Linked DNA regions of Yarrowia lipolytica. The protein of the gene in region 1 interacts with the protein of each later gene in a biochemical or structural test. Links are inferred from orthologs where the notes say so. Each region holds a gene or a part of one and is shown on either strand. Other genes may lie near its edges. The genes, in order: YALI1_A19459g and YALI1_E12402g.

Region 1 (4,135 bases):
AGACATGACCACAGAAGTTGACACTGTTGTTTCAGAACGGCTGGAAAAGTTCAGAAACATGTCACGTACTAAGCCAGACACAAAGCCCAAGTCCATGTTAATTTCCCAAGAAGACAGAATCAGACGACGACTAGGACTAGGTCCCGATGAAGATATTCCTTCGGATGCCTCGGACCCTTCGTCAGATGAAGATGACGATTTTGACATTTTCAAACACAAATTCATTTGTCCAGAGGACGACAAGGCCGAGGACTCGTTGATTACTTTGGGAGCATGACCGTGAACTTGACCCATTCGTACATATTATATATTTATTTTAAAGAAGGGATGTAGAATGTGAGCGCACAGTCAGTCTGTCATTCGGCTCACAACACTTTTTCATCAATCTAATCAACAGCCAAACTACTCGGGCCTGGTCCGTCTCTTTCCTATTATACTATACAAATCTGTTTGTACATACGTACCGTCTTGTATGCCTCCTTGCATCTCTCTATCTTCTTCCTCATCACCACAAACACTACTCTAACGTAGTTTTACCTTGTGGTGATATCTGAATGAGGGGGAGGGAAAGGGGGGAGAGTCTAACCACGACTCTAAAAGATGTCACAAGAGTAGAGATAATAGAGACCCTACCCAACTTTATCAGTAGTTCAGTCCACCCACCCATTCAATTTGCTGCTGCTCATGAGCGACAGTTTTAGTATGGCGCCCCAGCATCCTCCCTCGTGCTAAGCACTCGTTCGGTTACTTGGCTTCACTGGCCCATCCAACAATATCAATACCACTCCTGCCACACTTTCGATCCACCTTGATATCAGACAGACCACTGGCATCGTCCAAATACCGATGATTGCTCATGCCGCCCGCATCGGCTCGCTGTTGGGGATCCATCTGCAGCATTGGCAGCAGAAAGCTGGCCAGCAACTTGGCCTCCTCCTTGCTATGGTTGTATTTCTCATGCAGAACTGCCTCCAGTGGCCAGTCCTTCAGCTTGGAGATCTTCTTGAGCTCGCCCTTGTCGTTGAAGTACTCTGACGTCCATTTGCCGGTCTGCAGCACGCTGGTAGGGATCTTGCCGAGCAACTCGATGATCTGCGCAATGTGGTCGTCGTCCTTGGAGTACTTGGAGCCGGTCTGGGGCTCGAACAAATAGTCGCCGGTCAATAGCTCAAACACCAAACACGACATGGACCAGATATCGCTGCTGGCGCCCCAGAACGAGCCCAGCAGCACCTCGGGTGACCGGTACTGTCGCGTCTGGATGTCGTTGGTGAAGTGATGCTCGACCCAGCACGCGTTGCCGAGATCGACGATTTTGACGCTGATGAGCTCCTCGGCCAGCGCGGTTCTCGGCTTGGTGGGCGATACCGATGTGGGGCTCTTGGACAGCTGGTTGCTGGTCTTTTTCTCGTGGTCGTCGTCGAGTCGAACCTCCTCCACCATCTTGGTCATGGTGAGATCGTTGAAGAAGGACGCGTTGGAGCGCAGAGGAGAAGGGAGTGGCTGGGAGCCGGTGATGAGAGATTGTCGTCGCGATCTACGACCGGTTCTGGACCCGGGTTTGGTCTTTTTCGTCTCGACCGCCGCGCGATCCTCCTCCTCGGCCAGCTTAAGCATCTTCTCCACGTCGCCAATCTCAATGAGCACGTTTTCAGGTTTGAGGTCGGTGTGCACAATGCCGCATTCGCGGTGCAGGTAGTCCAGGCCCAGCAACACCTGCTTTGTGATCTGCTTGACGAGCTTGACGGGGATGCCGGCAAACTGGTGTCGTCGAATGAGACCCAGCAGATTTTCGCCCAGCACCTCAAACACCATGCAGTAGTGTGTGCCGTTGGGGCCCACGTGCTTGAAGCTGTCGTACAGGCCCACGACATGGGCCTTGCCTGGATGGTCGGGGTTCTTGCTGCTCACCCGCTCCAGCATTTTGATTTCGTCAATGGCCGTCTCTGTGTAGTGGGAAGCCGACCGCACCACCTTCATGGCCACGTGGCGGTCGTTGTTCTGCGTATCCCGCGCGAGCCACACGGTCGAGAAGTGTCCCCAGCCCAGCTTGCGCACAATCACGTAGCGGCCGTTGGCAAACTTCTCGCCGATCTTCACGGGATGGTAGCCTCCGGGACAGTAGTCGTCCAGCGACTCTTCGTTTTTCTGCAGCACCTCGTCCTCCGAGTCGCTGAGGTCCGTGTTGACGGTGAGTTTCGACATTGTGTGCAACTGGATATGTGATGATGGTCGGTGTTTGTGTCGTATAACCACGGACGAGTACTTTTTTTCTGGTGGATTTCGTCTCGACTAGGCTGGTTAAAAGTGTTTGGTGTAAACTCGGGGGTGTTGTGCTGTCGCGCTGTTTATGTAACGTCGGTTTGTGTCTGCGTCACGTCGTCTGTGTCTCCAACTGAGGGTCGCACGTTCAACTTGTATCAGTATGTCGTCTGGTCAAGTCGTCTCAGAGTACGAGTTCACTAGATATCGCCAAACTTGTTTTGATTTTAAAGTTGCGCATGCATGGCGTGCTGTGGAGGGCCTTGAAGGGGGTCCAAAGAGGGACTTGTAGACGCGCTAGAGACAGAGAAACCCCGCCAAAATACTCGCCCAATTTTTCTCTCCTGATTTCTCTTTTCAGAATCGCGCTGGGACCCCCACAGCCCATTCTAAACACACTCTCCTGCAGGTGCGGCAATCTACCCTCCAACACGATAAGATGAGCTCATGTTCATAACACCGGTTGTAGAGGCCCAAAAGCGGCGGAAAAACGGCTTTTCCAGGTCAATTGCCAATCGGAGCCCATTGCCGGAGATTTCCGCCCCGCCATTTCTTCCCCAAGTCCCCGCGTAACCCTCAGCCCTAAGTACATCCTGTCACGACCCACTTACCCTAACAGAAAACACATCCCAGCCACGCATACCCCATGCATCCACAATGGCAACCCTCCCACATACGAGCAACTCGGCGCGCTTCTTGAGATTAGGAGATAAGCCAGAAAGAGCGGGACAAGTCCGTTGGGGTGGGGGGATGAGTGTGTGGAGGTCACGTGACTCCTTCCGATGGGTGTAATCTGTATATTTTTGACGACTCTCATGCGGGAACATGGTGGTATTGCACTTGGAGAGTATATATACCCTGCTATACAGGAGAGCAAGAGAGAACAGTTGTACTACAAGTGGCACAACCAGCGGTACTTGTACTCTGTAGAACTCCGATTGCACAATTTCCACATGTACCTGAGAGAAGCACCATCTGCCTCTTGTCTCGGCACTGGCTGGTGTCTTTTGTTGTCTTTGGGTGACGTGTTTCAGATGTCTTGACGAGTACGAGTACGAGTATGTACGAGCGAGTACAATACACTTGGATACGATGTGATATCGGGCAGAATTAGAAAAATCGAGTAAAATAGATTGGAATCGGGAAAACCCCCGATTTGATAAGAGTCGATTTTATATATATTTTGAAAATTGAATTGCACAGGTTTCGAGCAACGCGGCCATTTTGACCCCTTTCTATACCAGTTGTTTGGAAGGCCTATATGGTCAATATTGGAATAAGATGTTTTTTAGAGATGACAATTACGTCATATTGGAGGAACATAAAAAGGCGTATGCAACGGACAGAATGGTGGCTCAACAAACTAGAAAAGACTATGGTTGGAATCAGCAAATCAATAGCTCTCGATCAGTCAAAAAATTATCGTCATATTGGCAAAACTGGCCTCATTAGAAGCCCTCTCCAATCCCTTGTCTCATGGCAAAAAGTAACGATCAGTTAGTAAAACTTTTACTACAGTGCAGTACTTGTAGTGTGACCTGGGTCAAAAAAAAAGATGGAGGTAACAAACAGAGCGGGTGTCAAGTCTACAAGTGCATTATTGGAACGGAAAAATTCCTTAAACGGGCATTTCTGGCTACTATACATACATCAGTCGTCTATCAAATAGCAACGAATCTATCTCACGCCACAGAGGAGATATTGGAAATCTGACAAATCCGTCCTTCTTTTCATGCCCATTTCAATCAGTTTATCATCTCTCGGCGTGTCCTTATCCCTCTTATAAGGTGCTGTTTGTTCGTCACCATCAGTCAGCTTTCAGTTGGATACTGAACGAGTATGTACTGTACCGTAGAAGAACATCCTGGGGTAA
Region 2 (4,613 bases), on another chromosome or scaffold:
TTATTTATTTATTTATTTTCATTTTTATTTTTTAATCGCATTATTTTAAGAGAGAGCTGGGTCAGAGTTAATCCGTCGATCACATTCAGCGGTTTACCTACAGTACAAGTACTTGTCTTATTAAATATAGAGTTTAATGTATTAATGTTATAATAAAAAAAATTAAATAAAAAACACAATAATCTAAGATTTATTTTTATTTTTATTTTTATTTGTTTTTATTTTATTTTTTAATTATTTGTTTGACATTCCACGAGTGTTCAGAACTGCGACAATGTGAAAATCGCGCTCTTCCTACTCATTTTTCTACAAATTGCTTTCTTGCTGCTCATACCCTTATACAAAAATCCAACTATTCAAATGTACAATTAATGTAAAGACCTATAACCCCGAAGGAAACTCGGTATCATTATATCCAATCCAGCCAAAATCCATGATGACAAACACAATAATGATAGATGAACCTTCATATCAGAGTAGAGAGCGTCACAATGTCTAGCTCGTTCGCACTCCACTGCTCCGATTGAGAGTCCTGGAACAAGTGTCTCTCCGTTGCGCTCAACTATCTAAAACACATTCATGTCAAAACACTCCTCCGAGTAATAACTCGCAATGACACTTCTCCTGCTAAACCGCAGGCCCGTCAACTTCTGCATCGCCACTCGACTCGTTTCCACACTGGCAAACTTGACGTAAACCTTTCCCACACCTGGACGAGTCTCAAAGATTAGCCGTCGATACGACGCCTTCATGGCCTCGGGGTCAGGTCGTGGGATCTTGATTTGGACCTCTTCTCCTCCTCCATATTTGAGACACTCGGACTCGACCTGCTCGGTGATTTCTCTGTAGGCCACATCATCCAGCAGCTCGTCCAGAGTCACCAGGTTGAACAGAACAATGACCGACGACTCCGGCCGGCTCTTGACGTCATTCATGACCGTCACAATTCCCTTCAACCCGTTGTTGGACGAACACGACAACTGCGTGGGTCCTTCACATGCTAGCATTACCTTGAGGTTCTTTCCACCAATCACCTGTCCTGACAGCCCTGAAACGGCGTCCTTGACCACCTCGGGGTCCTTGTAGTCCACCAGAGCAATGCCCGCCGACTCCCGAGACGGCAGCTGTCGAATGAGCTGGAATGCAGAAAGCTCACCGAACGATGCTGTCAGCTGTCGCACCTGGTCCTCTTCTACGTTGAACGGAATATCCCACACAATGATTTTCGTGTTGGAGTCCTCCACCACAGAAGCCACCTCCTTCTCCTCGTCCAGCGATCTTCTTGAAACTTCGCTTCTCTCTGGCGTAGGACAAATGTAGTTGGACGGTCGTCGTATACTAATGGGGGGTCCCGAGTAATTGATACCTAGACCAGACAGAGCCAGGGCTAAGGTTGCCATTTCCGCAGAAAAGAACTCCACTAACACCTCGGGGAGACGAGGATGCTTGTAAACTCCGTCCACAATCCGTTCCTTGGATCCCTGCAGCTCCAGACCCTCGATGAAGTCTGTGAAGAAGCTCTTGATGGCCACCGTGTCGATCTGATCGGCAGGAATACCACTCAGAATCAGTCTTCGCGCCACCCGTGAAAACTCAGGTCGAACAGATCCCTTACCGTTGTTGATGGGTCCCGTGTCCACCAGAGGCATCATTGCTGCCGTCTCGTGGTCCGTGGGCTGATCAGGCAGACCTTCCACCAGTCCCCTCAACACATTATAGTTGACTTGGGTGGGACGTCCCGGTAACGGAAACAGACCCGATCGTTTGGCCAGCTCAGAACTGACCCGCTCATATCCTCGAGCCTTGACATCCCAGCCCGTGGGAGCAGACAATGGACGCTCGTCGAGAGGCACCACGCTATCGTCGATCGAAACGTCTCGATCTCGTTCGCGGGTTCGGTCACGTGCCCGTTCTCTGTCTCCTCTGTCTCTATCCCTATCCCTATCCCTATCCCTATCTCTGTCTCTGTCTCTGTCTCTGTCTCTGTCTCTGTCTCTGTCTCGATCACGTGGTCTGTCACGTGTGCGATCGTCGTCCCGTCGGTCCCGTCGGTCTCTACCTCCATCTCTGCTGTATCTGTCCCTTCGATCTCCTCGATCGCCGCGATCTCGATAATCTCGATCTCTGTGTCGTTCTCGCTCCCGCTCACGGTCCACCGAGTCGTCCCGTCGACGCCACCGCTGGTTACGGTACCGGTCCCGCTCGCGGTCTCGCTCACGGTCTCGGTCTCTGAAGTCCCGGTCCCGCTCTCGTTCTCGATCTCGGACATCTCGTTCGGTGTCGCGCGAGTCGTGGGAACGAGGTCGCGGCGGCTGTTGCGTGTCCAGCCCGCGCTGCGTCTGCGCCAAAAACTCCTCCACGCTGTTATTCATGCTGAAACAGACGGTTGGAGGGTGGTGATGTGGTGTGTGTACAGTTCAAACCAGTGAGTGCTGAGTAAGTACGCTGCAGGTGAAGAAGGACAAGCTTCACATCGGGTAGGGTAACCCAGGCAGGTCTGGTGGCAACCATACAACCCAGGGAGTAGACCGAGTAGAAGCAGATGCTTGGGGTATTAGGGCTTGGATGTCTTTTAAGGTCCACTTTTTGTGTCTGTGCTACTTTTTTTCTGCCCATTTTCAGAACTCACGTCCTTTCCTGGAAAAGTCTTCTTTACTTGACATTTTGTTAAGAGCAAAAGCATGCTGGGGGTTCATATTCGGTGTTCTAAAGATGCTAGAGAAATTGTAGATGAATAAAGCGATAGACCGCAAACATATTCTTAGCAAATGTTTCTTTTTGGCACAATTCATCTCCAAAAATGTCTTTAAAACTCCATCATAAAACCCCATCCCTTCAATCATTAGTTAGCGTTACACTTGGAAAATGATTACCTTTGGAACGAAATACTTATCTATTAGTTGGCTCCTCTTCTACACGACTAATCATCTTATCTTGACACATTTTGCATAGAAACAAACGAGATTCAAACGAGATTCAAGTACTCATCCACGCCCTTCATCCTCCTACAACTCCATCCTCCCTACAACTCCACACCATCACCGATCCAAACTTCTGTTTTCCACGCCTGATTTCTGCATCGTCGATGTGTGGAAGTTGGATGGAGTGAGACAGAAGAAACAAACAGAAGGGTCCAGAAGGGTCCAGAAACAGATGATGCACCGCGTGATACACAAGGCTGTCCTGTAGTGATTTATGAATGGTCTAGCCACACACCACTGATCCAAGATCGAGTACGAGTATGTACTGCATGTGTGCCGGAGCACCCCAAATTGAAATAATAAAATAATATAAATAAATAAATTGTCCTCCTTTTTGTCCCCCACACTCAGCCGCTCATATCTTTCTCTTCTTCCTCCTCAAACTCCATTATATCGCCGTCATTACGCTCCAAGAACTGTAAAGTATGCAACTTCAACCTCCTTGACCAAGCCCTGAAGACCCACAATCACCACCTGATGAGTCAGACCGGGGAACCGCTGTCGATGCAGACCAATCCACTCAATGGGAGGAGTGGCTTCGCCCATATCTCGCAGCTGGGGAATCTCAATGTTGGGAGGCTCCAACGCCACATAGACGTACTTTTCATCCAGAGCCACATCCTTGAGCTTCTCCTCCAGCTCGCCATCCTTGAGCACCGACGGGTTGGCCACAAAGTTGAGCTTGTAGGCCTCTCTTCGGCTGGCAAAGGCCTTGGCGTGCGAGTTCCACATTTCTCGGATGAAGGTGACTGAGCCAAAGTTCCAGCCAATGTCCACTTTGCCGGCGAATTCGGACGAGTATGTGAACTTGACCTCAGTAGGGTTGGTGTCGTACTGCCATGTGTGCATGTTGATGTCGACCTTGGGGATCCGCACAATGGTGCCTCCCTTGGCTCTGCGAGTATGAGCCACAAACTCGTCCACAGTGAGTGTCAACAGATCCTCCTCGTTGATCTGGGTCTTGAAAGTACTCAGAGCAATGATAAACTCGTGCATACCCAGCTCCAGGTGCGACTTGACGAGGCCACGCTTCTGGGTGTCACAAACAAACTTGGCATGTGTTCCAGACAGATTGACGTAGAGGACCTGAGTATCGAGAAGAGTGCTGGGGTAGACCTGCAGCGTTCCAGAGTTGATGGAAACGTCCACAGACGTGAGAAGATGAGGCCGGCCAACTTTCTTCTCCTTGGAGGGAGTTTCTTCGTTGGAAGCCCCGACTTCTTCCTCATAGGCTCCCTCAATACCCTGCTTGGTTCGAACCAGAATCTGAACGAGATCCAGAATGTTGGACGGAGCCAAAACAGTGATAAAGACACAAATCTGTTCAATGTCGACAATGGCGGACAGGTAGTCCGCCACTTCTCGCTGGTTGGAGACACTGAACCCGAGGTTCTTGATACTGGCAATACCAAACTGCTGGTAGTCAAAGGCCATCCGGATCTCCGCAGACGCCAGAGACGCCACAAGAGTCACCAGAGGAACATCTTCTGGCGTTACCTGAGCGTCTTCGTCAATCTCCCACAGAAGAGCCAGTTCAAGCCGGAATCTCGCCAGAGAAACCATACCTCCCAGTCGGCCGTCCGAATGGATCTTGATGAGCTCGAAACCAAGAGTAATGTGCTGGTCCAGGTG

Evidence for each region.
Region 2: of the proteins of YALI1_A19459g (region 1) and YALI1_E12402g, one has a biochemical effect on the other in vitro, tested with the Schizosaccharomyces pombe proteins (4 studies listed by BioGRID). The link is inferred for Yarrowia lipolytica from reciprocal best matches to the Schizosaccharomyces pombe genes dsk1 and prp2.

What each region holds. Positions count from the first base shown.
Region 1 is NC_090770.1:1,943,631-1,947,765, forward strand, and holds YALI1_A19459g (uncharacterized protein), read right to left. Parts: upstream 2,206-4,135; coding exon 745-2,205; downstream 1-744. Other genes in the region: YALI1_A19428g (uncharacterized protein), read left to right, coding at 1-277; YALI1_A19441g (uncharacterized protein), read right to left, coding at 403-494, 538-667. UniProt on the Schizosaccharomyces pombe protein: May play an important role in mitotic control by altering cellular location, degree of phosphorylation and kinase activity. Abundant expression accelerates the exit when cells are in M-phase and also delays the entry into mitosis when cells are in G2.
Region 2 is NC_090774.1:1,237,992-1,242,604, reverse strand, and holds YALI1_E12402g (uncharacterized protein), read right to left. Parts: upstream 2,373-4,613; coding exon 567-2,372; downstream 1-566. Other genes in the region: YALI1_E12421g (uncharacterized protein), read right to left, coding at 382-470; YALI1_E12295g (uncharacterized protein), read right to left, coding at 3,384-4,613. UniProt on the Schizosaccharomyces pombe protein: Necessary for the splicing of pre-mRNA. The SF1-U2AF59-U2AF23 complex has a role in the recognition of the branch site (5'-UACUAAC-3'), the pyrimidine tract and the 3'-splice site at the 3'-end of introns.